Linked DNA regions of Alligator mississippiensis. The protein of the gene in region 1 purifies or fractionates together with the protein of each later gene. This does not show direct contact. Links are inferred from orthologs where the notes say so. Each region holds a gene or a part of one and is shown in the gene's direction. Other genes may lie near its edges.

Region 1 (15,092 bases):
GTGACTGCCATTAAGACTGTGAAAGCTTAAAAATAGTACTTAAAATAGTTTACAGTTCATTTCAAATTGAGTAGCTGAGACCTGTTGTAGTGTTGTTGTGGCTGCAAAGGTTTCTCTCATCTGTGAGGAACATACCATTAATTGTTGAAAAATAACTAGAGTTTTGATGCTAATATATTTTAGTCTTTTAAGACAGGAATTATTGCAACAATCTTCATTATTTTGTTTAACCCCTGCTTACATTCAGGGAGAGCCTTTTTTATCAATTCAATCGAATTTGGTATATATTAAATTAATGTCAAAGCTTTTAAAGCATGGTAGTGAATGTGTGTTGTCCTGTTTAATCACTTTTGTTCATTAAAATCATACTCATATTTCTATGCTATATTACTAGACAATTTAAGCAGAACTGATTAGGTGGGAAATGTGAATTGCACATATTTGGAATAGCAAAGAAATTTTGAGTTGCATCTGATTTACAATTTTCTGAAATCAGTGATGCCCTTGGAACTATTTTTAAAAGTTAGTTTGACAATAAACACAATGCAAGCCACACAGTACTGCTGTAGGGCTGTAGAAATTCTCTACCTTGACAAAATAAGTGAGTGTAAAAGAAAAAGGGAAGTGTGTGTACAGTTTTTATGAAGTCTCTAAACCTGTGGTATTTTACTTTTGAATATGCTACTTGTTCATTGAAAATAGTGAAGCAAAGTTTGTCTTTCATGAACTGAGATGCTGACTAAACCATAAATCATTCAATAAACTTAGCAAGGCCTTCTATGCTTCTGCTTAAAAAGAATATTACACATTTTATATAAAACTTCTCTCTTCTTCCCTATCCATAACTGCTTAAGTCTAAGTTAAACAATCGGTTCCCTCATCATCATGTTAACTGAGTTTTGTGTTTAATGTGAGGACAGCTAAGAACGAAACAGATGAAGTATATAATCTTAACATTACTCCAGTCTTTCAGAGCTCAGGAACCATCAAATATACTTCACAAAATTTTTCTTCAAATAGGAAGGTGATTTGTATGACTAAAAGTTCATTAGGTCATAGGTCTAATAGGTCATAAGGGACTTTGAAAAGGAGCACTTTGTAGAAGAAGCAGCCCCTCTTCAGCAATAATCACTACATTTGTGTGTAGTGGTGGGTCTCAGGTGGTACTTGTATTTTATGTGATCTGTTTGTGTAGGAGATGGTGTAGTTTTAAGTGTATGCTAGACGGTTTTGTTGGGCAGGGTTTTAGAGGTCTTTGTTTTTTTCTCACTGGCATCTGGGTCCCCTGGGAGTTTTGAGAGGATATGGGAAAAGGGAATTTGGTGTTGTTCATTTTTTCTTTTGCACAAGATTTTTTTTTTTTTTTTTTAATGTAAGGGGCAGCAGATGGCAATTGCAGCTGGAAGAGTTACCAGATATGAGACCGGAAATGAGAATGATAGGAAGTGACAGCTGTAGAGACATTTATCATCCTTGAATAGGTTTCTGATGCCAGCTATATCTGCATGAAGTGTTGCTTGACAGAGGTGGTCAAAGGACTGGAACTGCGGCAAGGCAGAGATGGAGGTCAGATAGGATTTGAGCGGGTAATGCAAGAAAGGAGAAATGAAGTTCCATATACAAACGAAAGACCTGATGCCTATCTAAAAAGATGATTGGATCTTCAGAACAGGGGAGCCCTTGAGATCGTGTGACTAAAAATAAGGCAAAGGAAGGAACCAGCTGGTGGAGGTGAAATAGAATTGAGGTTTAGTTTGTTGGTAAACAAAGAAGATGGGATGGCGTGGAAGAAAAGAGAAGAAGCTCGTTCAAAGAGGGGTGGGGAGAATGGAGATAATGAATCATCTTAGCCCAAGAAGGATAGAGGAAGGACCAAGGAAGATAAAAAAGACAGAATGTGGTAATTGGATACATAAAAGGATAAAAAGGAAAAGTATCAGGGATACAAATACCAGGAAAAGGCATTTCTATGTAATCAGTGATTCACTGATTAATAATAATCAGACCACTTATAAGGTACAACCTGTAAAACAGAAAGGAATGCTATATATTGGAAGCAAAGATATGGGATAGACCTAAGACTGAAGAGGATTTTCATGGGAGCAGACATTAATTGGCCTTCAGGTGAGTCATAAATGACATGACAATTACTGACAGGTGTAAAGGACAACTACAGTAGTGTAGGGAAGCTGTTTAAACTTCTAGAAGTTCAAATGATTTTTTTCAGTGGGATTCTTCCTGTCCCAAGAGAAGGTAGGAGAAGATTATGACAATTAATAGATGACTCAGAAGATTGGTGCTCCTGGGAAGAGTTTTGGATGTTTGATCACTGGCTAGTAATTGTGGATAGGGAACTTTTTCTCTAGGGATCAGCTTCACTTGGGATCAAGGTTGACCTGACTGAGGAATGGCTTTAATCAAGGAACTTGAAGTGAGGGGGAAGCTGGGGAAAGTTCAGAATGAGAAATAAAAATGAACAGTAACTCATTATGTAGGATGTAAAACCAGATGTTATAGGAATAATGGAAACATGGTGGAATAGTAGCAACTTTTCTGTGATTCCTCCTTGATAGGTCATTTAAGAGCTCCCAATTTAGCTCAATTGGTGTCTTACTACATTTCCTTTTCTCTTTTCATTGAGTTGGTTTCTACTTGTGCCCTTTAATACTGCCACTTCCTGAATTCCTTTGTCCAATAGACTCACTTCACATGAAAGTTTACCTACCAATTCTCTATGTGTGTTGATTTTGTTTATTTTACTGTTTTGATCTGAGTAGAAGTTTTTCACATTTATGCTCCTACAATCTTATTTGAACCTGGTTCTTAGTAATTGCTCTTGGCACTGTTAAGGAACCAAATGGTAGTTGAATTGTGTAGAACCTTTCTTATTTCTTGGTATCAGGACAGGTCAAACAGAAAGGTCAAACAGTTGCATGGTAGTCCTGTGGTTCCAGGAAGGTAAAAGCCATTCTGAAACTGAACTGGGTTAAGGTATTTAGTCGTCTTCAGACCAGAATTGGGTGAACCCCCTGCCCTGCCCCAGATGAGAGAGAGTATTTAAAAGAAAAAACAATTGCCCTATAATCCAGAGGAACTTCTAAGTAAACTTAAAGTGGCTACTCCCAAACAGAAATTATAGTCAGATGCTGATGGCTGGCCTACTGTAGAAAGATGCTGATCCATGCTGGTTGACTAAAAGGTTTCCCAAGTGCTAGCAGCTATTCTGCACTTGGCTTGTTCCCTGAACAGCTTCTCCCTAACAGTCCTACATAGTTTACGTGCTGTCTGTGAGGAAACTAGCTGTCTCTGCTGCCAGGACTACGCTGCTAATCCAGCTGGGAATGGGATGTTCTAGTAGCTGTCCCCACATCTAACTTGTTTAGTATTAATATCAAGCTATGCAATGTGTTACAATGACCAAGTCAAAACCAACAAATCAATCATGAGATGCACTGTAGAATTGGAGTCAAATGAGCAGATTAATTTAGTAATCATATTAATGAAAACTCCTTATATGAGAGGTAGGCACTTCTTTTCCAACTGAGCCAGAATAACTCACCCTGAGTCAGAGGCAGGCAGGCATTTGTTAGGACCCAGTGGTCACACCCACTTGTCTGTGAACTGGCACGGGGAGAGTGTCTGCTCATCCCCACCATGCCATGGGACGAGTACCCCAAATCACACTAGCCAAAGTCCCGCATCTCTGTGTTGGACCCAGTGGTTCCATGGCGAATCTGGTCCATAGACTAGGTTGCCAATTTGCTGCTTTATACAAATTGTAAGATGGCTGTCTTGGTTGTAAATGTAAGCTGAAGAACTTGACTGAAGTTAATTGACTTGCTAGTTAGCTGATTTCAGTATTAAGCCACTTCTCTAATATTCTGTTATCTAATGTCTGAACACAGCTTCACAGCCAGTAAAGCTTAGACTTCAGGTTTTATCTAGTGGCTTTTCCTTTTTCTCCCTTCACTGCAACAGAAATAAGATACAGACATTAACAGAATGCTGTTTGTAACAGATGTTTCACAGCTTTTATTTGCTAGGATTAAAAGTACCAATCTTCTGTTTCCTAGGATGTTGAGAAGATAGAGCACTTTGAACCTAGAACTGTCGATAAGTTCTTCACATGTCCATGTCTCATGTGGCTTGTTAGCTCCCTGCATTTGAACTTGGATTTTTTTTGAGCCACATCTTTATCCTGAATGTCTTTATAACTCTGGATCTGAGGTCATTTTTGACAGGCCCTCGCATCAACTTTTGTCTTTGAGTCAGACTTTTGTGAGTGAGCTTCACACTCACTATAAAACATGTTCCTGTGATGTAAGACAGACAAGTACTTTTTCATAGCATTTTATTTTTAAAAATCTGAGAAACTTGCTGTGTGCAAGGTTTAGCCCTTATGGCAGACAAGAAGTCTCCAAAATCTAAAAATGTTCTATTGCTTGCCCTTGCAGATGGTGTGTCCTCAATTATGGGCATACCAGATGTTGATTATAGGGATTGTGTCCTTGAGAGAGGAGCTGTTTGCTTGTAGTTCTCCAAGGAAAATACAGAGGTGTGAGAGATTTTTATTAGTCATCTTTGCAGGAGAGGTCTGTTATCCCTCTTCAGACTTTGGAGGGGCAGAGACTGCAACCTCAGAGTAGTCCTCTTCAAACATGCTTTCACTTTGTGAAAAAAGACACTAGCTTTGCAAGGGGCATAATTTTAGACTGAGCTTGCTAGGTTCTGGCACTAAAAAGACAGAAAGACACTAATTTGGCCCCTGAAAAAAATGGCTTGGGAAGAATTCCCTTACAACCAGCTCGTTTGCAGTTACATGCATTACCCAGTACCCACAATATAGTCTCACAGCTACCAGTGTTCTCATTTCTGAATAGGGTGACATTAACATTGCATCTCCCATAGTACCATTGTGTCTGATGCAGCATCTTCATGGCACTAGGAGATCTTGTTTTCTGCACTACCCAAATCATAACTAGAGACTGGTAGTTAATGGTGTTAGTCTGAAGTAAGGCAGAAAGCAGGGCAAGCTAACTTGTTCAGAGAGACATGCTTTTGTAGGTGCTATACTTCATCATAGCATCTGATGAAGTAGGCATTTGCTTATGAAAGCTAAAGTTAGTCTCTAAGGTATGTCCTGCACTCCTTCAATCAAATGTGTTAATGGTGGTAAAGGTTCCCCCTGCCGTATCAAGGACCCCTCCAGCTCAGTAACCAGCTCCTGGATAGTACAAATTTGTGTTTAAGATGATCTCTGTTTTTCTGGGATAATGCACAAGTTTGGAAGATGTAAAGAATCTCTCTCTTGCTACTTAAAAAGTTGAGAAACCCTGCTCTAGATACAGCCGCTTTGATGTTCTCTCTGCTGCTTGTGCCAAAGCCAGGAATTGGCTTATTTGATGCGTATTGGGGGTCAGGGCCTTATGTCCACAGTGCATCAGTTAGTCCCTCCCCCTACTATGGAAAGAGGGGGCAGTGTGTCCCTCACCCAGAAGACTGACAGCATACTGGGCTGCATTGGTAGGTGTGTTGCCAGCAGATGGAGGAAAGTGATTTTTTTTCCCTCTATTCAGCATTGGTGAGGCCACATCTGGAGTAATGTGCCCAAGTTTGCCCTCGGCAAAGGTTGTGGGCAAATTGGAGAGTCCAGTGGATGGGGGATGGGAGGGGGGCAGGACTTCTGAGGAGAGACTGAGGGAAGGGGCTTATTTATTCTGGAGAAGAGGAGACGAGGGATTTGAGAGCAGCCTTCAGCTCCCTCAAAGCTGGTCACAGAGAGGAGGAGCTGGACTGTTCTCAGTGGTGGCAGATGAGAGAAGGAGCAGCGGCCTCAAGTTGCAGCAAGGGAGGCTGAGGTTGGACAGCAGAAAAATACTCTCCCGAAGAGGGTGGTGAACAGGGATCCTGGTTTTCTCTGGTTAAAAAAAAATCCCCAATTTTCAGACTTAAAAAAAGTAACCCCCAATCCATTTTCCATGATTAAAGTGAAGCACCACTATAACATACGAGCGGATTTTTGGTTACATTAGTTGACCCCGCACGGGACGCGGGAGTGAGGCGTGAGACGCACCTCACACGGGGCTCCAGGTACGGACAAGGAGCGGGGGCGCGGCCGGCGCTCGGGTGGGGACGGGATTCTGAGGGAGCGACCCCCAGCACCTCGCTGAGATCTCGTGAGACTTCTTGACAACAGAACCCGTTCTCGCGATATTTTCTTCCTCCCCTCACCCCCGCCCCTTCCCCTTTCCGCGGCTGAACAGTTGCAGCAGTAGTCTGATGAAGTCGGAGCGGGAGGCTGCGCCGGGGCTGGGGCCTATGCGTGGCGGCGGCAGCGGTAGCGGTAGCGGTGGAGGTGGAGGGCGGGACAAGCGACTCATGGAGCCTCCGCTCCGTCGGGAATCGCCGCGCCGAGAGCCCGAGACCCCGCCCCAACCGCCGCCGCCGTCCTCCTCCTCCCCCCTGGGGCCGCCGCTGCCGCCGGGCCCGGGAAAAGCGCGGGACGAGAAGAAAACTGCGCTGAGCAAAGTGAGCGCTGGGCCGCGGGGCTGGGGGCGGGGTCGGGCGGTCAGGGCAGCAGCACCGGGGACAGCGCCGGGAGGCGGGGCTGCGCCAGGGGAACTTCCCCCTCCCCCCCCCACCTCCACTGAGAGCGCCGGGATTGGGTAGGGAGACGGCCTGCTGCTCGCACGTCTCTCCTCCCGCCCCGTTAGCACGTCATAGCGTTCTGTTCCTTTCCTCGCCCTGCTGCTCGCAAGTCATAGCGTTCTATTCCCTCCTCCTCCTCCCCCGTTCGCACGTCATAGCGTTGTTCCTTGCCTGGCTCTGCTGATCGCACGTCATAGCGTTCTGTTCCCCCCTCCCCCTGCTCGCAGGTCACAGCTTTCTATCCCCCCAACCCTTGGCCACCCTAGTGAGGGTGTCCCCTGGGCGATTCCCCTGTGCCCCCTGCCTGGTCCTTGCCCAGCCCTTGGGAAGTGTTGTCCTTGCTCTGGGCCCTGTGTCTGCAAGGGGGTGGCCAGCCAGGCGCTTGGAACCCGATATTCTGCATTCACCCCCAACCAGGTCCCTTTTCTTTTCTTTTTTTCTCCCTCCCTACTAAAGCTGGTTGCTTCAGGCATGGCAGGCAGGGCCCGTTCTCCAGGCCCTGTCCCTGCCAGCGCTCCTCTCCCAGCCCAGCTTCTTTGTCTCCTCCTTAAAGGGCCCCCAAACTAGACAAAGTCCTCTCTCACCTGAAGCTGGACTGCCATCAGTGGTGTGGTGCCAGAGGTGGCACCAAGTCTCTTCTCACTATAGGGGTTGAGGTGGGCTAGACAGAAAAATTGGGGGGGGGGGGGGTTGAGGTACACATCTTCTGGCCAAACAAATGTATTTGGTTTTTTTAACAATTCCCGCTTAAATATGTGTTTTATCTATGTTATCCACAAAAGGAGAATAAAAATATATACTGTATGTAGACAGATCAGGCCAGGCTGGGAGTGCTGCGCCTCTGCAGGCAGGAGTAGGGCAGGCGGCAGCATCTCTGAGGGAGGCAGGGGGTTTGGACAGGGGCAGTGCTGGCAGAGATGGCTACTGGGGGGACTAAGGCAAATTTTAGGGCAGCTATAGCCACCCCCACAGTGCCATCCCTGTGTGGTGCTAACCTTTTCAGGGCGGTAGAGTCAGTCCGGATGTGGAGTGGATGTGCTCCCCATGGACACGTCCACACATGCAAGTACGTGCGCTTGCAGCAGCTTAAATAGAAATGGTACAAATTTGAGCCGGGGCTTTTTGCCTCGGCGCACTTTGGACATGCACTTTGAGGAGCAAATTGTGCCACTTGGGGCAAAGTAACCCTGCCTGGTTCCTCCCAGACCTGCAGCCAGGGGGAGCTAGAGCCCTGGGCCAGCACCTGTCCTGGCCCCAGCAATACAAAAAACTGCCCTGGTAAGTAGCTCGGGGCTACTCACTCTCAGGAGCATCTGGGGCCCAGCCAGTTAGTACCTGGGGACACTACCTCTTGTGCCAGCTGGACTGCTGAAGCTGCTCTGAGAGTTCCCTGCACCCTTTACCCACTGAGGCACTCTGGCAGTGGGGGCTGCTGCCTGGTTGTGACGTGCTGCGCACCTGCCAGACCCAGATGGGGATTGCACAGCCAGTAGAGGCATCTGTCCTCTGTGCCAGCTGTGGACTGTGGCTGCAGAGTTGGCCTCTGCGGCACTACTGCCAGGTGGGCCTCTGCCCGTCCATCTGGGCAGCTATTGCCTGAAAGATGTTTCGGGTGTGGTGGTCTGCTTTGAACTGTTAAAGCATGTCCTCCTGGCCCCAGCTTGCCAGGTCAGCCCAGCCAGCTGGGTCCAAAGTGCCAGCTCTGAGCAGGCAGGGTCCTGCCACTGGCCTCCCTGGCAGGAATTCTGGTGTTCCCTATTGGAAAAGTGAAAAAATCCCTGATTTAAAAAAAAAAAAAAAAATTCCAAAGTCACTCTGTAAAATACCCCCAAATCCATGTTCCTCCACAATTAAAACAAAAGACCACTATAAAGAGAGAAAGAGTGAGACAGAGACAGCAATCAATTGGGCAATGTTTTATTGTTATATCTACTGTGTTAAAGCAATGTGGAAGCCTACCAGTGTCTTTATCATAATAATAAAGTGAACTCTAAATACGTTTCATGAATTCATGAAACATGAATATATATTTGGCTGCCCCCCACACAAGGGCTATGGCCCCCCAACAGGGGCCAAATGGCCACCGCAGGGGCTACCACAAGGCCACAAGGCTCACGTGCCCCACCCTAGCCCCTTATTGTTGCCCCACCTGGCCCCATCCTACTCCAGCTGCTGCAACCCCCCCGCCCATGGCTGCCCCACCCAGCCCCACCCCCGTTCCCCCAAATCCCCCAATGACTTCCGTGCCAGGCCCCATCCCCCACTTGCACCCCTAGGTAGGCCCCCATGGCTGCCCCCCAACCCCAGGCACTGTCACTTAAAAAGACAAAACAAAACACAAGGAAAAAAAAACCCAAGAAAAAAAGCCTCTATTTACCCTAGAAGCAGGGGCTGGGGGGGTCTCTGGGGCCTCCTGGCAGAACCCCCCCCAGGAAGCAGAGGGCAGCAGGGGGTGGGAGGGCCCAGGCTCGGGCCACTGGGGCTGTCCCTCTGCCCCATGCTGTGCAGGCGGGGCCCCAGTGACCCTGACGGCAGCTGAACTGCCGGTAAGTGCTAGCGTTTTTTTTGGTATGGGGATGCTGGGGTGGGGAGGCAGGGCTGGGGCCGGGCAGAGCAGGGGTCAGAGGGGCTTGGAGGGCAGGGGGTGGGGGGTCAGGCAGAGTGGGGGGGGCGGGGCCATATAGAACAGGGGTCGATGGGGCTTGGGGCGAGCGGAGGGTCAAGCCAGGCAGAGCAGGAATTGGGTGGGCTGGGGGAGTGGGGGGGGGGCAGGAGGGGGTGTCCCCCATAGTCCCCTCCCCCCTCCTCCAGCCCTACCCTGACCCCTTACTTATGGCACTGGAGCACTGGTGCTGCGCTGTCTGGCAGGCCGCGTGTTTAGCACCAGGGAAAGGGGCCAACCATAGAGGTGCTCTGGCAGCCAGAACGTCTCTGTGGAGGACCCAGCCTCCGGTTGCCCCGCTTTTTTAAACTTTGGATTTTTTTAGACCCCTGGATATCCAGGGGTCTAATTTTCTCTCTGCGCTGCAAGTTGGCAGTGCGGGGAACATTTTTTCATTCCCGCATGTGCCTTTTGCCCCATCTCAAAAGGGTTTGAGACAGGGCAAGAGGCATGTGCATGCTTGTCCGGATGCGCCTCTTGGGTCCAGGAGTGGGGCACACATGCCCCTTTATATACATATATGTATTATATAGTCTATATGTATACATGTATGAGAGAGCACAAGCTCTGTGGCCTGAAGCTCACTTCATCAGTTGCTGTGAAAGGCCATGCAGAAAACAAGAGCATAAGAAGAAGAGAGAAATGAGAATACACCCCTGCAAACATGCAACACACATTTGCATTTTTTTTGCAACAGCATTGCATTGTTGACTGATACTGAGTTTGTCATCCACTGTAAGCACCCCTCTCTTCCTTAGCTATGTTAGAGCCAAACCCATCATGTCCCATTTCATGTTTGTGCATTTCTTTTTATTTCTTTGTTTGTAGCACTTTATATTTGTCTTTGTTAAATGTAATCTTGGTGACTATGATCCAGTCCTCCAATTTATAAAGACAACTTTGGATTTCAGTCCTGTCCCCTAAAGTTTTGACATGCTCACCCACCTTAGTGGCATCTACAGGTCTGACCACCAGGGATCCTGGTTTACTTGAATTAAAAAAAAAAAAATCCCCAATTTTCATATTAAAAAAATAACCCAAAATCCACATTTGTCCATGATTAAAATGAAACATCACTAATATATAGACCTGCATATAGTGGTGTTTCATTTGAATAATGGAAAAATGTGGAGTTTGGGTTACTTTTTTAATCTGAAAATTGGGGATTTTTTTTGTTGGAGAAAACCAGGATCCCTGCTGATCACCATATTCTCTGTCCTTGTATCCATACCATGAATAGAAATGTTAAGCAGCCTTAGCCCAAAAACAGACCACAGTGAAACTCCACTTAAGACTTGCTGCCAGATCCATTATTAGGTATGTTTTCCTAGCAATAAATTTGGCTTTATGTAATTCGTTAATGTCGTTTATTTTTGACTGAAGTATCCTGGCTCTTAAGCTCTTTGTTGTAAGATATTTCCTCTCTCCTAGAATCACACTATATGTGATAGCTGTCAATTCCTCTCCTTTATGTGACAGAAACAGAAATTAGCTGTAGGTTGTCCACTCCACTTGCCTGCTGGTGCAAGCAAATGCATACCAAATGAAAGTTTAAATTCTAGAGAGAGTTTTTGGAAAACTACTATTTAATTTGTTTACTATTTTTGCAATAATTTTATCTCTAGATTAGTGCTAATGTTACTTTTCTTTTCTCTTTGGTACTTTGCAGGTAGTTATTCGCCGGCTTCCTCCTTGCCTAACTAAAGAGCAGCTGGAGGAGCAGCTGCATCCTCTACCTGCCCATGATTATTTTGAATTTTGCACTGCTGATCCCAGGTGAGGAGAAGCTGTTTCTTAGTATTAAGAAGAAAAGAGGTATTTCTGTGCTTTTGCAAGCAACCTGTCTAAGGTACCTTGGGCATAGCTGCATACAAAATTGCATATTTTGTCCCCAGAACCTCTATCTTTTTGTTTTGTTGGTTACCTAGATTTTGCTTTTTTTTATGCAGGGAACTTTAAAACAGAAAATTATCATCTTGTTGCTGAAAATACTCAAGTTCTGTTCCAGTTTTCACTGGTGAAGTAGAAGAGAGCTTTTCCTCAATTTATATTATGCCTTCCTAATGCTGAAAAGAGCAGAGCTGGCCAAATGTTCATTTGAATTTAAATGAACTCCTTAATTGCTTCCACATTTACATTAGCTTTTTATAGACTTTCAAAAATCTAGTTTTATTCTCATGAATATTTTAAAAAGCAAACGTTAAAGATACACAACTGGTCAGTCAAGGGTAGAGCTTTTATTTCTTTCAGTATATTTTGTAATTATTTCATCGGCAATTTAAGAATAATGAAACAAAGGAAGTTTACTAACTATTTGTAGTGGGCGGTATCAACCAAGTTAAGAAAACTTTCTAACAAAAGAAGTTTCAGAAAGGGAGGAAATAGAACAATTAAAGTAACTGAAACACTTTTAACATTGTCATATTGCAATGGGACACATCTGTTTGGATGTTGAAGTCACAAAGTATGTATCATAGGGATATGTATGCTTAACTATATGCTGAATTATCTCTCTAGCCAACCCATGTATGTACCTCTGGTCACAATTCTGGAATGGTTTATTAGAGCCTGTGACTCCTAAAGCTTGAACCTTTCAGAAATATAATCACCAAGCACATTCAAGGAGATGGGGGGGAAAAGTTGCCAACAGCCAAATTTGGCTTGTCATATGCATAACATCAGAAGCTTTGGTACCAGCAATACGTTACCAGTGAAAAATTAGGCAGAGAGTGAGTTTAGGCACCTGCAGTGCTAGGATGGGTTTTTTGAGCATGTGTTAGCATCTGTATGTTGTACTTCAGCAGGATCTTAGTTTCCTTATGTCTTTCTTGAGAATCTAGTCACCATGATTTAGGAAAGCCTTTTAGGTTTCTGTTCAACTTGTGCTGCAAAAAAACCCACTAAAACATCTCTTAAAAAGACTCTCTGTGTTCAATACATAGTATTTGGTGAAATGCCAGGGAATGTTCCAGGGTTTGTGTAGCTTGATAATTCCTTGAACATTTAGGCAATTGAGAATAGGTCATATATTTACCTTTTAATTCTCTCTTACGTTCACGCAAACTAGGAATTGTCTCACAGCCTTAACTGACAAGGCTCCAGTCATCTCCTTCTATGCCTTATCTAATTGTCTCCGCAAGGACCCTGAGTGTTTTGCAAACTCCATCACATGCTGTGTTAATCTTTGTCCTCTCCTATGTAAGGAGTAAGAAAATATGTACAAAAGAAACACTGCCATATTGCTTACATAACCAGCACAGCTCACATTTGGAGTACAAACAAAACCTTTGGTGAGGAGAGATTGTCAAGGAATTTTTAACAATATGTATGAAAAATGTATTATTCTGAAGGATATTGCATATGTAAAGAGAGAGCCTGAAAAGATTGAGTGAATTATTTGCTGTGAATTATTTTCCCAGCTGAATGCTTACAACACACTGACTTGCTGGTGTTGCTGTCAGTATTCCACTTTTGCTTAAGAAGTAGATAATTCTGGATAACTGGAAAAAAAGATGAGGGCATGCTTAAAGCACTTTAAAAAATTATCTGCTTTATAGAGTAAGTCTTAAAATCTGAAAACACGGCTTTATTTTTATTTGGTTACTGTATTTTGAGAAGTTGAAAACTGACTAACATTTTAGAGACTAGACAAAAGAGACTCTAAAGTCTGGTGTTTCAGATTTATTTAGTGGCTCTTATTAATCTTTTGATAAAATAATGGTCTGGAAGGCACTTTTTTCACTGGTGATATGTATTCCAGTTCCTTGCTGTCTTCATAGAAACTAGAGCATTGTCTGTGTGGAAAAGATTTTTGGTCTAACTTTGGCTGTTTTAGAAGGAACTACCTTATGTCCATATACACATAATTTATTTATTTATTATTGCTTTGTCTTGCATTGTATGCTATTATAATTATTTTTCCTGGCACATGACAAAATTATAATTTAGAATGAGTTATACCCCTGTAACATTTCTACGTATGCACCCCCATTTCAGAATAATTATGAAACAGTCCTTCAGCTGCTATCCCACACTGCATTGCATCACATCTGCTTTGGCTTTCCTAGTTACCTTTTCTCTCTGCTGCTTAAGGTTTCTGTTGACTTGATATTCCACCCTGTGCCCTGCATTTTGAGTAATGTCACGCTCCCAAGCACATCTCTTTGTGATTTCAGCTAATGCCAAGTTCAGACACCCCAAGTGCCATGTAGTCATTATGTTTAATGCTTCTGCGTGGATTTGTCAGGAGGTCCTGGACTTCCTTGCAATTTTGGGAAAGGAGTGAATTCAATCTCAACTTCCTGTGGTCACTAAAATGCAAAGATCTACAAGCAACAGGCAGACCAAATGCAGTAGCAGTAGTCACAGTACAATCAAGGAGCTGTAATGGATTTACAAAAACAGTACTACAAAATCAAGACCTTCCAGTACCTGTACAGCCTACAAGGAGCTGGACCAGGTTTTTGCTCTAAAAGCTATCGCATATATCCAAGTGTATATTGGAAAATACGGCAACAGCCTATGGTGAGTCTTCAGAATCCACAAAGTCAGTTATGAACTCCCACACAGGAAGACATACACATGGACAACTAAGATCCCTTGAGCACTCTTTGACCCTAGCTGGTGATTCAGTTGGAAATTATCCACAAGACCCATCTGGAGACATATAGTGACTATGCAGCAGATGGGACAACATTTGTAAGTATGAAGTGCTATATTACAGCAGTCTGTCTCATTAGTATCTGTTAGAAGACTTTCTGCCAGGTACTGTCAATATACTGTCAACAGTTATGATTAGCAGATATTATCGCAACAGAGGCAGACATATCTGCTTCTATTCAGTGCCTTTAACCTTTCATTGGCTTGGCTATTTTTCCAGCTCCCACGCTGCGTCCATAAGAATACCAAAATTGGAAAATTTTGGGAGTAAAAGTATATTTTTTTTATACAAAAAAAAAAAAAAAGAAAAATTAATCCTGTGCCTATGGACCAAAATGTGAACTTCCTCAGGTCTTATTCTACTTGCTGGGCACATCTACACATGTGCATTTACTGTGTAGTGACCAAAATTACTGTGCAGTACGGGCATACATCTACATGTGCATGCACGTACTGCGCAGTAAATATGGTGACATACTCTAGCTTGATTTATGTTGCTAATTTACGCCCAATTAGTTATTGCACAGTAACATTGTGCCTTACTGCGCAGTAACATTGTATGTGTGGACTGATTTGGGACTAATTTTTGTTTGCTCAAAAAATTGTTGCACTGTGCTTATATGTCTCATCTTAATGATATCTTGTAGTCTGTTGAGGACAAAGGAGACAAAGAACTCTCTTTCCCTGTTCCCACCATAGAATATTGGAAGTGCCTGTGGTGTCCCATTCAGACAAGATAGAGCTACAATGCCATCTACACACTTAAACCTAGTATCTGCACAAATCTGTTAACTTTGTACTTTCATGGTTCCTTCAGTTTTAATCGTGTTTCAGTTTGCACTATTTTGTTGCACATAAACTCTGCTATTTAAAAAAAAAATGTGGATTTGATTAAGAACAGCTGTCTTTAATAAGTAGGGACTTTCCAAAATCACAATTTTTGTGGAAGCTGCGATTTCAGGTGTGCTCTGTGCTTTAGGTGGTCTCCCTAAAAAAACAAAACAAAACCAAAACCCCCCCCAAAACCCCTGCTGAAAATAAAATGCTGGCTCCCTCTAGAGAGCCAACAGTCCTCATGGCCACTGTGGCTGGGCCACGCAACCTGCTGAGAGTGGAAGGGGTG
Region 2 (15,560 bases), on another chromosome or scaffold:
AAGAGATCCACCGTGTAGGGCCCAGTCCTGAAGAGAACATGTGCAAGTGCAGGAGGGTAGCCGCACACAGTGGAAGATCAGTTCAAATCCAGATCACATCAATAGTGCTTAAGAGTTTCTTGAAGACAAGACAGTGACCCCTTATGGGAAACTGGTTGGTGAATCTCAAATCATCTCCCACTGGCTAGGCTTAGATGCATAAGGGGGGCTTGGACTGAGCACTGCAATGTCTATCTTTTAGACAACTCCTAGAATAATCCACTGCCTGTTTTTCATAGGTACTGCAGGGTGCTCCTTGGCTTAGAGTTCAGATCCCATTGTCAGCAACCAAATACAACCATCAAAATGTGGTACAAAGTGTCATCATGGCAGGGAATAACACTTCACTGAAGTCACTGGGTTTCACAGATCACATACCCTTTGAATAAGCACAGGGCAGATACAGTGCAATTTATCACAAATCAGGGCTGTGATTTTGAGTACACCTTCAATATTTGCTAACATTTTCATTCAAGCTTCTTTGTCTGAGATAGCCATTTACAAGACTGAAATAACATGAGATCTGGTCTACTTGTGACATGCAAGCATCAGTCTTAAACCAATGAAAAACAAAATGAGAATAAATATAACTATTAGCTCCCCACTCTGTAGTCCACATACCTATTAGAGACTACAATGCAGGGTGGTCCCACAGGAAGGAATGGAACAAAACATGGACAACTCACTGCTCCCTGACCCAACTCTGCAGCAGACACTCCAATAGAAAAAAAAAGCTGAGGACAAATTGCAGGGAATGAAGGTTTGGGAAAAAATCCACCTTAGCTATTACTGATTATGATCAGAAATTTAAGTTAGGATCCCAGAAGAACCTTCCAAACAAAAAGAAAATAGATGTTGCTATGTACCTCCATAAAGCTGCTCTCTTGGTTTACTTCTGAGGCTGCATTGACCGTCCTTTTATGTCCCTCTTGCGGTGGTGGAGCAGTAGTGCAGTATCTGCTTTAGAATAATGAGTTTACTTCAAAAACAACAAAAATATACTGCTTCATTGCTACTGGGTTGTTTTTAAGTTATTCTCTCAAAGGTCCTTTGATATTGGATTTTTCTGACATAGGAACATAATTTTTTTAGTTACAAATACTCCTGGTTCTTCCATTTCAGCCAGGCTGCAAGACACATTTCAAAAGATGCTCCCTGGAAAGGGTGGTGTTTATTTTAGACAAAATAATAAAGTAATAAAGAAAAAAAACTTTAAAAATAAAATGCATTTCATTAACAAGAATGACAGAGAAAGAGAAAGAGCTACTGGAACACAGAAACAAGAAAAAGGACAGAAAAGAGAAAAGACAAACTGGTTAAATATTCATAACTAAGTAGATGTCATATAGAGCTGTAATTCTGTAACTGATTACAAGATTCTACCATTTGTTGTACAGATTTCATAGGTACCACAGGTGCAGCTTGTGTGTACATACACTTATGCATAAAGAGAGTTTATAAAGAAAGATGAGGGATAACTTGTAACATCATAACAGACCCTAGCTGGAAAACCACCCACACGCAAAAAAAAAAATAACAAAAATCCGTGTAGGCCCGGGGGTGGAGAATGAGTAGAATCAAAGAAATCTGGGGGAAGGGGGAGAGAGAGAGAGAGAGAGAGATTAGTGAGAAGAAAAGCCTTTCCAGGCCTTTGATGCTAAAATGAATTTCTCATCTTTCACCAATGCTCGTGTCAGAAATGCAAGTCTTTACAAATTTGAACCAGGGAGGAGGATTCAGAACCTTTTGCTGTTTAGAAACAGTGTGAGACAGGTTATTTCTCTTTTGCAAAAAAAAAAAAAAAAAAATTACCTTATTGGCATGCACTGCACAGTTTTTGTGACACAAATGTATTCCACAGTATACGTGCATCTGAACAATTAGTGTTTTGATGAAGTGATGGGGGTGGAAAAGCCGAACCGTTGCTAATAATTAGAACAGACAATGGTACCTTCTGTAGCAAATTACCATCCCTCACCTCTCCCTCCCCTGAACCACTTCAGTTGATGTTGGATGTGTCCATGACAGCGTGGTGTTGCTAAGAGAGGTTGCTAAGCACTATCACACACATAAATATGGATATCTAGTCTTTTGGATGGGTCTGACTTCAAAAGGGAAACTAGAGAGCTACAAGCCAACAACGTCATTTATTTATTTACCTGACTTTCCTTTGCTTTTTTAAGTTGTGGATAAAGGAAGACCGGAGGGTGCTGCTCAGACAGTATTAGAAACCCTAATTTATATACATCCCTAAATTACCTGCAGTTGCACAGCATTTTGTATCAATAATTTATCATTAGAACAGGGAATTACTACAATAGATACAAAGGTCAAAAAGGTCTAAAAACTGATGATTTGCATGCTCTGGGCCAGTCTGAAATCCAAAGTCCTTCTGCAGTGGCAAAATGGATATGTCGGAAAAGGCAATACCCTCTTATTTTCCCCTGCAGCATCCCTTGCCCTGTGAACTGCCAGTCACAAATGAACATCAGGTAACACAGACGTGTGCCCTCCATTTTATGCCTGTGATTCCCTAACTCCAGACTGTTCACTTCCAAGATAAAATCATTTGGGTTTTTTGGTTCATAGTCATTAGCAGTTTGTGGAGTATTTTCGGAGCCACTTTTATTGGCTCTGAGCGCTTTGCATCATGGTGACACGTCCTGACACTGTCTCCAGAGCTTGGAGTTTTCCAAGACCAATCAGCTCTTTCCTTTTCATAACAGCTTGTTTTTCTCTCCTCTCATTACAGTTTTGAATGGGGGATGTTATCAAATCCCAGTGCTAAAGTGCCTTGGGAGTAAAATGTATTTCAAGGAAAGTCATGTAGCAAGGCTAGCAATTCTGAGAGGAATGAGTTGCCTTCACTAATAAATATAATTTACACAACTACAAATTACAGATGGCCTTTCCACCACCTTTTTGGTAAGCATGACAGTCAGAACCATAAACAAACAAAACCATCTTGCTCGCAGAAGCATTTGTTGGCATGTGGAAAACAACCCTTGTAAAAGAAAACCACCTGGGTCTGTTTTCCTGCACTGTTCCAGCCTGCTGAGCATTTACTGCAAAGTTAGGTTCCAAAACCGCACAAGAAATGGTGAAGAACCACCACGTCTGCAGAGGCACTGTTCCTAATTACCCAGAACTTCACTTTGTTTCAGTTCCTTTTGGGTACAGAGCAATGCAGACCCAAGAGTCAGTGAGTGGCCATCAATCCTATAGGTGCCCTGGATTAAAAGACACATGCACTGTTAGTTGTTCAAAGTATGGATCAGAGGACAAATGCAGCTTAGGAAGGCACACAGTGCAGGTTCCAGACGCACTCATCTGCAAGAAGGCAGTGCAGTCCGTAAAGGGCAAAGATGAAACGTAGTATGATTGAAACAAAAATCCTCAAGTGCCTTACCCCTGAAATCATAACCTAGCATGTTCACTGGGCACACTTAGAAACAGGTAATAAGAGCAATTGTAGCCTCCTTTTTTAAAATAAAAATTAGGTGAGGGCACCGTGCTGTTGGTTAATTAGCAATTTGATATAGTGGCCCCTGCCTGAAGATATCATAGTGAACAGGCAATACCCATAGACTGGCTCCGTGTGGTTTTCTGTCTAGTACTTGGAAAAGGGAGAGACTGAACAGCCCTTGAAGGGGTGGGGGGACTGCTGAACTTCATCTGTAGCCCTCCTGTTTCAGCACCTCAGACAGCAGCCTAGTCTTGTCAGAGGACACCGCCAATGCTGGTGCTCCCATTTCAGAAGCTGAGCCAGCTGTAAAATTCACCAGAGGACCTCTTTCAGGGTTTCCTTACCCCTTCAGAATGATTTCTGTTCAAATCTTGGTTCAGCTTCCATTTTATGTAGCGCACAGAGGAGGGAGGGTGGAATTGAGGCATCTCTCAGCTACTCGCCAAACCTTTTGATCTTTTCCCAAAACTTCTAACAATGCTGTACGACAATCAAAATTTGGAAGGGCATTCTTAGTGGTAATAAGCAAAGAAGCCATACCAAGCAGCCCACTTGCCTTGATAACTTCCCTCTGCAAAACCACTTTGAAGCTGAAGTGGGATTTAGTATTCTCTTGTAACTGTGCTTGTCTCAGCTTTGGGAACAAATGGTTTGGGCAGCATTCTCTCGACACAGACATTTGCTTCATATCACCTATTTTGCAAAAATCTAGTTGGTCAAGTAAAAGATATCACCTCTACCATGAGTTCTAATTCCTTTTGCCTCTAGACCAATACAGCTACAGCCTGGGTACCCTTCATATCACCCATGCATTTCAAGCCAGAATTGTGAAGGTCGTTTCTATTAAGCTTCCCTCTAATATAAATATCTCATTTTAGGGAACTACAAAATGCTGCTCAGTGAGACTATCCTGCAATGCTGCTGGAGACAGTTTATGTACAAGTACTTTGACTCTTCTGTTGACTACAACTCACTACTTCTAGATAACAAGACTAAGCATGACCACAGTTGCACTGACCTTATCCCAGAGATATGGAAACTAACAGTTCATGTCATTTACATTTTTTCTGATTCAAAATTCACAGCTCTCCAAAATTATGAAGAGGTCTGTGAGAAATGGATGATTTTGCAGTCTGCAAATGACAATACAAAATCCTCCAAAACCTTTGGATTACCAGGTGAATCTGTTCCAGACTTACAATGTGCAAAACTACTCAACCTGATGGCTGACCAATGGCCTAAATGAAAAGAGTTGTTGGTCCTGAGCTCCGAGAGGCCCAGTCTCTAGGCCATGAAGCCACCCCACAATTATCCCCTTTCTTGGCAAATCTCAGAAGTCGAGGCTAGAAGGGACAATGGAAACTGAACTAACCTTTCAGATGTAAAGGGGCTTTCTTCAGAAAGCAGCTGAGGTGCATTCCAAGGAGAGAGCATGGAAGAAGCCTGCACTTGCAACTGCCCATGTTCTGCATGTTGTGGATACATGGTGTTTCATTCTTTTACTGCTCTTGGACTCATGCCTTTCACCAGAATAAAATCCTTAAAAACAAAAAAACCCAACAACACAAGGTCAACGTGGTGGGAAAGTTCCTTATGATAAGCCTAGAGTTGGCTCCACAGAGAGCAGGACTTTTGTTCACAGCTCTAAACTGGCTGAGACACATTTTCATAGATCAGTTTTACCTACCTGCTCAGATGTCACCGACTTGCACCATCCTTGGGCCCACATATGTATGCAGTCTTCCACAAACCTGTCTTCAGTGAAGATGCTTCAAAGTTTATGACTGAGCTTTCATGTTTCATTCTTGCTAACATCATCCAGAGCTTCGTGACTGAGATGGTTATAAGATAGGAGGACTCTGAGGACCCAGATAATTATCCTCCTACTATTACTGATACACAGATCAAGATTGATTTGTTCCTTGCTTTTGCAGAATAGGGAAACTGTAAATTTTAGAGAAGCGGTGTAAGGCTCAGGGCCGGGGAGTCTCCTTCCCAAGAACTCTTTCATGACAGCCAACAAAACAGAAAGTACCGTGACACTGGACCCAATGATCTCATTTTATAAGGTTTTTTTCCATGGGACACTAAAAATAATGAGAATATTAAGACAAAAGAAGATACCTTTGAGGATAACTGAAAATAACTCTTCACTTGATTTTCTATTTATCACACAAACACTTGCAGATTAATTCAGGTGGGCTGTAACTACTGTTGAGCTGTGGAAGCTCTGTGGAATGACTTAGACTTGTGCCCTGGCACAGGATAGCGGCAGGGGCTGTGATCACAGTCAGCTTTCCATTCTTGCCCTTAATGGTTCACTTCACTAACCTACTTTAGTGTTCCGGCTCTGTTTCCACGAGTGGGGATTCCCTTGGATAACTGGCAGATTTAAGAACTCCTTATTAATCCTCCCCTTCATTAAAGAAGTCAGTGACAAGACTGTATAAAGGGGTATTAAGGGATATATAATTCATAAGCAAGTTTTCTCCAATTTAAGGTTCCAGGTTTAGCCGATTCCTCTCATGGCTCACTGGTAAATAGGCCCCAAGTTGCCCTTAGATGCTAAATAATATCACTTGATAAAACTGGATTAAGGGGCAGTTCTTTTATCATCAACCAGATAGATTTGTCTATTCAAGGAACATTTACATATTTATATGTGGATCACAGTCCTGGAAAGCTAGTTAGGAAGACCAAGAACTGCCCATAGTGGAGGGCAAGGTGCTAGCTACTAGGTCACAACTGTAAATGTGGACAATTTTACATTAGGCCTAGAGCATACTCCGCTTCTTCAAGGGCACTCAGAACTAAAGGTGAAATCAAACAATGTGTATATAGAAATATTAGCCCTCTCAGCTTCTCTACTTTTTTTTTTCTACATATGATTGGTATAGGATAGTCCAACGAGGAGGAAGCTTCAGAAAATAGAAGGTGCAATTTTCCATTCTACATCAATGCTTCTAGTGGACCGTTGCATGCCTGCGCGTCTGTTCCTGGGATTCATTCTACAGGGAAAACAGGGACAAAATAAAGGCTATGTGTTGAAGGAAATATATACCCATCTTCAGTAGCTGTGAAATCACTTTTTTTTTTTTTTTTGGGGGGGGGGGGGGAGAATGACCATCTCCAGCTTTCCATTTCATTTTGCCACAACCAACTTGAAGAAGTTAGTTTAGAACAGCTCTGAATTTTGAACTAGTAAAAGGCAATGGGATGAAAACACCCAAAACCAAAGTCCTCCGTGTCTTCACAGAATTCCCATGCATCTTCTCAAATGTCCCTCAGCTTGGACCTGGCAGGACCATTTCTGAAGATGAGCAGAGAGCTCAATTTCTACAGCATATCCAGTTACAGACCCTCTTGTGCAACTGTTTGCCAAATGTGCAAATAGCACAGTAAACAGTAACAAAACTTGATCATTCTCAATCACAGCCAAATTTCCAATTAGTACTTGATACTCCTCAATCCCCATATGTCTCAAAATGATTTACAATGATTAATTAATCTTTACATTTTAGTGTGAAATGGGTATTTTTATTTCTAATTTACAGATAAGAAACTGAGGGAGGAAAAGAGGAAATTAACCCAGGAGTTGTACTTCCCAAACTCCTGGTTAACCACTACACCACACTCTCCTAGTGATGTGGGAACAGATTCAGGGAGCCCTCAATCCCAGTGTCCTGCTCTAGCCATTTGGACCCCACGTCAAGTGGGCAAGGTGGCTTTTGACATGTAACCTGGACACGGGGATGTGATCAGTCTATTGCAAACAAGGGCAGGTAGGCAGCCAATGCACGGATACAGCATTCATCCACTCTGGATACAAAGTCTTGATAAGAAAGGGAAGGTGGAAAATCTTGCACCCCTGCAGCAGTGAGTCTCAACCAGGGTACAATGGCACCCTGGGGTGCTCCGAGATCCTTTCAAGGGTGCCACACAATGCTAGTACTGTTAGGTGTGCAAACACGACTCTCATGATAAACCCAGACAATCCAAATAGGAGTCCATAGCGCTAAAAACACTCTCACCTGTTGCCATCTTCTGGAGTTCTTTGCAACGGAAAAATTGCAGTCAAAAAAGGAGCGAGAACTAAGCTAGCATTATCCGAGGGCGGCTTTGAGTCTAACGGGGGTGGGTTGAGTCTAAAAAGGTTAAGAACCCTGTCCTAAAGGAAACAGGTACAGAGATTTCTTCTCTAGCGACAGCCTGATAACCACAAACCACTGAAAAATAAGGCTGGAAGAGCTCTCAAGGGCCACCTGGCGCCGTTTGGGATCGTCTGGGCCTGTCTGCACCATCCCCGGCGAACGCTCACCAACCGGCACTGGAGGTCTCACAGCCGCGCTCGGGGCTCTCGGACACACCTCAGTCGGACGCTGCTCTCATGCCCCGGGTGCAACCCACTCGCCCTGTCCCGTCCCGTCCCGTCCCGTCCCCTGCGACGCTCGCATGGCTGTGCCCCGTCTCCTCTGATGCAGGTTAACTCCCAGGACCCCCCGCCTGTCCCCACAGGGCCGGGGCTCACACCTCTGCGCAGTGCTACTGCCACGGGAGCCCCGCCTGCCCGCCCCACCCCTGCAGGGACACAGCCCTCGCTGGGGGGCACCGGAAGACCCCCCCCCCCAGTCACTGAGGGGCAATAACAGACCCCCTCCCTCCCTTCACCTCACTGAGGGGGCAATAACAGACCCCCCCAATCACTGAGGGGGCAATAACACCCCCCCCAAGTTACTGACGGGGCAATAACAGACCCCCTCCCTCCCTTCACCCCACTGAGGGGGCAATAACAGACCCCCCAGTCACTGAGGGGGCAATAACAGACCCCCTCCCTCCCTTCACCCCACTGAGGGGGCAATAACAGACCCCCCCAGTCACTGAGGGGGCAATAACAGACCCCCCTCCCTCCCTTCACCCCACTGAGGGGGCAATAACAGACCCCCTCCCTCCTTTCATGTCACTGAGGGGGCAATAACAGACCCCCAGTCACTGAGGGGGCAATAACAGACCCCCTCCCTCCCTTCACCCCACTGAGGGGGCAATAACAGACCCCCCCAGTCACTGAGGGGGCAATAACAGACCCCCCTCCCTCCCTTCACCCCACTGAGGGGGCAATAACAGACCCCCCCAGTCACTGAGGGAGCAATAACAGACCCCCTCCCTCCCTTCACCCCACTGAGGGGGCAATAACAGACCCCCTCCCTCCTTTCATGTCACTGAGGGGGCAATAACAGACCCCCCCAGTCACTGAGGGAGCAATAACAGACCCCCTCCCTCCCTTCACCCCACTGAGGGGGCAATAACAGACCCCCTCCCTCCTTTCATGTCACTGAGGGGGCAATAACAGACCCCCTCCCTCCCTTCACCTCACTGAGGGGCAATGACAAACGGCGCTTCTCCCCCCTCCCCTCAGCGAGCCTTAGACCCCGCCCTCCCCCCGCAGGTGTGCGTGCTACGTCACGGGCGCGGCGTACGTGGCGCGCCGCGTCGGCGCTGGCGTGCGTGTGTCGTCACGGCGGGGCCTGGCGCGCGGCGGCCGCACGGTTGGGCTCGGGCGCGCGGCGGCCGTTGGCTCCTTGTCGCGGGGCTCGCGCGCGGCCTGTTCCTGTTCCCGTTCCCGCCGCCTCCGCCTCCCTCCGCCTCCGCCTCCCGGGGCCCAAGCGCGGCGTGCGGTGCTGTGCGGTGCGGTGCGGTGCGGTGCGGTGCGGTGCGGGCCCCGGCCCGGCCCGGCCGGCCGCCGCCATGAGCGTGGAGGCGTACGGCCCCAGCTCGCAGACGCTCACCTTCCTGGACACGGAGGAGGCCGAGCTGCTCGGCGCCGACACGCAGGGCTCCGAGTTCGAGTTCACCGACTTCACCCTCCCCAGCCAGACGCAGACGCCGCCCGGGCCGGGGCAGCCGGGGCCGGGGCAGGGCCCGGGCGCGGCCGGCGTGGGGCAGGGCCCGCCGGGGCCCATCGAGGCGCAGGTGAGCCGGGGGATCCCTCTCCCCAAGCACGTGGCGGCGGGCGGCGGGGAAGTGCAGCCGTGGGGCTGGGGCCGGCCCAGCGCCGGCGGGCGAGCGGGCGAGAAGTGTCACCAAACGCACGACTCGGCACCCCCAAAGCGCCGACCCCAGAAGCCGGGGCAGCAGCTCGCGTGTCAGCCTGGGCCGGTTCCTTGGGCAGACGCAGAAACTATTGTGGCAAGAACTACACCGCGCCGCAGCTTCGTTCCTTCAAAGACAATATAAACCAAGCGTCCGTCTTCCACGGAGCGGGAAACGGCTCCGGACCGCGTTCCCCCGCTCTCTTATTAAACCAGCGAAATAGCTGGGGGGGGAAAGGTCTTTGCGAGCGTGCGGGCGCAGCCCCCTTCGTCCGGCGTAGGGAGTCTGCGCGGCGCGCGATCGTCTTCGAGGAGCGGAAGAGGCTAAAAGCGTCCGTGAGAGCGCGTACATAGGTAGGAATTAGGGAAAGAAAAGGTAAAGGGACAGGTGGGGAAGGAGTCAAAGGTGAGTAAGGGAGACTTTAGGGCCCAACGTCAGTCGGGAACGTGAGTGATGTTCTTCCCCGGGGCGCGGCGGGTCTGCTGCTACCTGGGGCTTCGGCCTGGGCTGGGGAAGGAAGAGGAGGGAGGATTTGAGTTGGGGTCGGACCACCGCAGAAGGAAATATAATCGTTGAGGATCGCAGCTGCCTCGGCGGCGCGGCTCGGACGCTTGGAAAATTGCATTAGAAAGAAAAACGGCGGTTTCATACGTCGGGGCCGCAGCGTCTTATCCAGGCCGCCCATCCCCGTGTGCGTGTGGGGTCCTGCTGCCCTGCAGCGAGCTGTTTGCAAACCGTGGGGACATTGAAATGCAAGTTTTAAAAGTGAATCGCAATGCTGGTAAAGCCCAGAATCGGCTCTAGCAGGTGAAGTACGTTTCATTTTGGGTTGCGTTCTTGCTCGGACTGTGCTCCTGCTGCCAATGCATCAAAGGCAGAAGTGGGAGTGCAGGTCCCTGCGTTGGTTTTAGCTGCAGTTGTTGGTGTCGGTAGCAGAAACCCAGGCCCCTGAACTCGGGTCTTGACAGGGATTTCTCAGTTCACCTTTGTGTCTTTTTCTTGTGCGTTTATTTGGATGTCAAATCCGTGCATTCAAACCCGGGTGCCAGAAAAGCACGCACGGTGACAGGACGGCTTGTCTGGTAGGGCAAAAAATAAACTTTTTTTCCAAGCGGTACACAGGTTTGATCTCATCAAAACCCCGCGTGTGCCAGGCCTGCGAGTGTAACCGGGTTGTGTTGTCCTGTGTGTATAGACATAGTTTCATAGCATACGCGGGCACCGTGCTTGTACCGTGTATCGTCCTGTCATAAGTTTCTAGGAGCTGTCACGCCACTTCTACATTTTCTTTGGTGGTTTGCTCACATCTGGCGGCGCTGCCTCGTGATTTTCCTGGTTGAGTGCCGTACCAGTGTTAAAAGTCTCTGCCTCGGGATTAACACTAAAGGCATTTTCCTGTTTTGAAAGGAACACGTAAAGAAGATATTGAGGTAGCGAGGATCATCTACCCCCACTCAAGGGAAGATCTTATTTTGGAGTTTTATCAACAAGCTGCTGAATAGTTTTCAAAACTGGCAAAACAAGCATGAAGAAAAGCACTTTTTTTTTTTTACCAAGACTATATTTTTTCGCTGTTCTGTAGGCAGTATAAACCATAGTGTATCTCAGACCACGTTTGCTTTGTCTTTGCAGTTTCGGTACATATCTGTCCAGACTTGTGCATGTTAGCAGACCCAACTTGCGACCGTGTAGGAAATGGCACTTTCCCACATGAGGGCTTTCTTCCTGTGGCAGGCATTAAGCTGAGCACTTTGAAAGGCGTTGAAGTCGACTAGTGTCCCACTAGCAAGGGAATAAGGGGTCAGTGGTGCAAAAGTGATGGCCATACAGTTTCTTTCTTCACAGGTCAGCTGATGCGGCCCTTTTCTAAAGCCTGTATGTAAATCAGCCTTTCTGCACACACTGCTACACTCCTGATCTTCTAACTGCAGCTGTCTTACCTCTGTTTCTCACCACCTACTTCCTCTTCTCCCTTTCATGTTCTTCAGGGCCCTCTCCAGGCAGAGATTTAAAATAGCTGCTTTTGGCACATTAGCTGATATGCCCACTGACAAGTTTTTTAAAGTCTACTGTAGAGGAGGGACACGGCTCAACTCAACTGCTAATATGCTCAACTGGTTGAAAAACTGCTTGGCAGAGGCTAGCCGGATAGGGCTGTAGTCTGGAGTGTGGGAGACTCGGGTTTGGTTTCTTGCGCCTCCAGATCTCTTACGTGATCATGGGCATGTTACTCGGACTCTGTGCCTCACTTTTCCCGTCTGTAAAGCGGGGAACTCTGAAATGCACTGCCCCGTAAGACACTGAGGGTGGACAGGCATTTAGAAAAGCGCTTGTACTCTAAGGTAAGGTAACAGATGGAAAGGGTGCCGTGCTTCCTGTCTACGTGAGTCTTCTAAAAGCACACGGCCTGAAATGCTGACAGCACACCGTGCAGTCTAGCTGTATACGGCTCAGGTGTTCGTTGTGTAAGGTTTTGTACATCCTGCTGAAACTGTCTTTTATCATTGTCCTTCCTCTTCGCCCCTTCTTGTCTGTTTGGACTCGCTTGCTTTATCCCTGTAAACAGAGATTTTATGTTCTTTGTTTCTTGGAGGCCTAGCACATGCTTCTGGCTACTTAAAAAATCCCCAAATGCTGGTGCTGGGACAGCATACGACCCTGTCTTGCAGCTAAGTCAGGCAGCGCTGGAATGGGTATTATTCCCGGTAGTAATCACGGAGAAGTAGGGCTGGAAGAGGTCATCTAGTCCAACCCGGTAGAGTCAAGTCCCATAGTCTGAAGTGGACTCTTTTCCAGCAATGGGCCTGGGATTTTACCTATTGAGTTTTGCAGCTGTTTCCCTTTCCACAGCTTTAAACATGCTGTCTAACTCCTAAGCAGAAGGGCAGGAGGTGAATACGCTTTTGCCCGTGTATGCATCAGCTACCAGGGACTGCTAGCTACTGGCACAGGCAGTGCCTTTTTGAAGAAATTGAGAACAAAATTTCCATGTTATTCTTATCATTGATTTGGAAAATAACTTCTCCTCTCAGGAGAAACTTCTGTTTAGAGACTCTTTCAGGTACTTTCTCTCAGCAGAGAGAGCAGTGCCGTTCAGTAACTTTGTCCCCAGGGTTTTCTCTGGTGTTTCTTGTTGATTACTTTTGCTAAGGAACAGGTCAGCTACTTCTAGAGTGCCGGTTTCTCTTAACCTCCCTCCCACTTCTTAAACAGTTTATGAGGGGGTGGTTAAGTTCATTGTGCTGCAACTTGGCAGTCAGCACATTTTTAAGCCTAAGAGAAGCCCCCCTTTAATAGCTGGGTGACAGTGTCAAACTTTTAACAATATGTACAGAAGCTAAAATTGCAAGAAGGTTTTAAGACAACAGTTGAGTCACTTCCTCATTGCTAGTTTGCCAAGCCTTAAACGAGGCGATAGGTTTTTCCTAGCAACAGGTGACATCATTCATGCCCGAAGATGTGACAGGATGAAAGGTCCCGAGCACCTGCCTTGGGCGGAATGGAGCACGGCACAGTCTCTTCACTGCTGGCACACTTTTAATTTCACTTCGCTTCATTTCCCCCAAGCAACCTTTTAGTTTCACTGCCCTTTGAAATAATAATAGTAGAAACAGTTAAAAAGCCTCTATAATTAGTGGCACCAGTTATCCACACTTGTTTAAGTATTCAAACATTTTGATTAAATTCATCAGCTGACTTTTTAAATATATAATTACTTTTTGAAATAGGCCAGTTAGAGTCAAAGTGTCATTGGCACATGTCTGGTGTTTGTGCTTGTAAAAATTCAAATGAGTTTGAGGCGTGAATATTCTCTGCATGGTTCATGACCAGTTAAGCTACTTTTATATGAAATGCCATTTTGATGTTTATTTAAGGAACTACCTGTTATCTTGTGGCAGGTGGTGAGGCAGGGGACCTTCAGTCTAATCTGCTTTTGTATGCTGGTGCAGTTTCTCCGACTATTGGAAATGTTTCTTCCTCTCTGTTTTCTTAGCAATATTGATCCCTCACATTGCTGTATTCTTGTTCCTTAAACCTAGGTGTTGGCTATCATTTTACTAGCTACATTTGCAGAGCATTGCATTTATGCTAACAGTTCACACTCTTGGGTGGACTGGAGGCACATGGCCCTGCATCTTGTACTGCACCTGGGACACTTTTATGGTTGCAAGTTTCAAAAAGTGTTCTCGTTTGTACTTTGTAAATTAGTACTTACTTGTTTTCAGAATCAACTCTGGGAACTGGATGTTAACTATCATGCATACCAAAAACTAGTTTGCAGAGGTTTCCAGATGGGATATTCAGGGAAGTGGGTTTATGGTCTCCTAATTTTATGTAGCTTTTGAATTGCAACTTGGGATGGGGTGGTGGGAGTCTTAAGGCTGCTCCCCCAAGATAGCTAGTGTCCAAATGACAATTATCACTTAATATGGAACCTGGAAGGAGTGCGCCTTCTTACTACTTGGCCTTGGCTCAGATATTAATTACCGATATATTTCTTCAGAAAATCCTTGAGTTCAGTGATGGGGGCAACAAGTCTGACTAAAACCAGAAATAAGTTAAAGGGCCTTGGTCTCCTTTAATGCAAGGCTTTGCTTTCTTGCCTTTGGGCTGGTGGGAGTTGATGGAAAGCAGTATTTCATTGTTTGGGGGAAGTAAAGCAATTTAATTTTAAACTTACTGATATTTTATTCCCCCACCCCAAGGGTTACTAGCATGTAGTACTGATTCAGAACGTTACTTTAAGCCTATGCTAATCAGCGTGGTCAGGTTATCGTGTTTACTTTCCTGATGGTGAATTTAGGATTAAGCAGTATGCCTCTCAATATTATTCCTAATTGTTTCCTTGCTTTTTGAATGCTGTTGTTCATAACAGATTGAAGCTGGAGCCACCAGTTCCACGTGGCACTGTCTTCTGTACTAGTCTCACTTCACTCTGAGTTGTCTCAGATTATTTTCTTAATGACATTCATTCCTGGGATTCGAAGCAGGTAAACCCAAATCGTTCCAGATATGGGGGAAGACTGGAAATTCAGTGTCTTAACCATTATATGCTAGATGTGTCTGAAAGCTTGCCATTATCTTATGGGGCATTCTTGCCTTGTGCTGATCCCTAGCAGTTGGAGAACATAAAAGCCAAATATATTTGTATCATGAATAAGGCTTGGAGTACAAGCTCTGCTGACACAGCAGCAGCAAGCGTTGCAAGGTTTCCTACTTGGGTGGGTAGTGCTCTGTTAGTGCCAGGATAAAGCAATATTTCCGTTGCATGCTTGGTGTGTATGGGCTTTATTGCTCTGCACCTTTGACATATTGTTATTCAGAAACTTGGCTGATGAAATATCTGTTAACGTTGTATCTAGTGGTACTTGTTTTCTTGACTCTTTCAACTATTTGGGTTGGTCTAATAAAAGATATCAAATTCACCCAAGGAACCTTGTCTGTCATAGTGATAATAGCACTTATTAGGTGTTGGGTTTTTTTTTTCCAATTGAAAGACTTATGAAATAGCTAGAACATGCTTAAAATATTTGAATTTCATTAATTTTCATTCTGACCTAATATGGAATACAGTTTTGTGGTGCAGGGTGTTAAAGTTAGTTCTGCACTATATGTGCAGTATGCATTTTGGGTTGGAGAATTAGACATAGTTGGGGCAGACTGAACAATAATTTTTGCTTAGAAACTTGCTTCAGTGTATTTTTATGCACCTCTCATTTCTTCAGGATTTTTTGGTTCATTTACTCATTTGCCCTTCCTGTGCTGTGATTGTGATGACCCCTTTGTGACTAAGCAAAGGGGAAAGGACAGAAGTGTTCCTTTAGTTACCAATATATGCTCCTATTATCCGTACTTGACATTTTTATCTCCCTCCTTCCTAACTGTCTTCAAATTATCACGAGGCTTTGTGAAGGGATGGAAGGTACTGGCCTCCCAGTTTTCTAGCATGGGATACAGTTTGATTTTT

What was found.
Region 2: the proteins of UPF3A (region 1) and UPF1 purify together in Homo sapiens (affinity purification with western blotting; 5 studies listed by BioGRID and IntAct, with this or other methods). This does not show direct contact. The link is inferred for Alligator mississippiensis from reciprocal best matches to the Homo sapiens genes UPF3A and UPF1.

The regions. Positions count from the first base shown.
Region 1 is NC_081824.1:350,627,883-350,642,974, reverse strand, and holds the start of UPF3A (regulator of nonsense transcripts 3A), read left to right. Parts: upstream 1-6,242; 5' UTR 6,243-6,279; coding exon 6,280-6,528; intron 6,529-10,979; coding exon 10,980-11,086; intron 11,087-15,092. UniProt on the Homo sapiens protein: Involved in nonsense-mediated decay (NMD) of mRNAs containing premature stop codons by associating with the nuclear exon junction complex (EJC) and serving as link between the EJC core and NMD machinery.
Region 2 is NC_081839.1:1,278,466-1,294,025, forward strand, and holds the start of UPF1 (regulator of nonsense transcripts 1), read left to right. Parts: upstream 1-9,026; 5' UTR 9,027-9,247; coding exon 9,248-9,472; intron 9,473-15,560. UniProt on the Homo sapiens protein: RNA-dependent helicase required for nonsense-mediated decay (NMD) of aberrant mRNAs containing premature stop codons and modulates the expression level of normal mRNAs.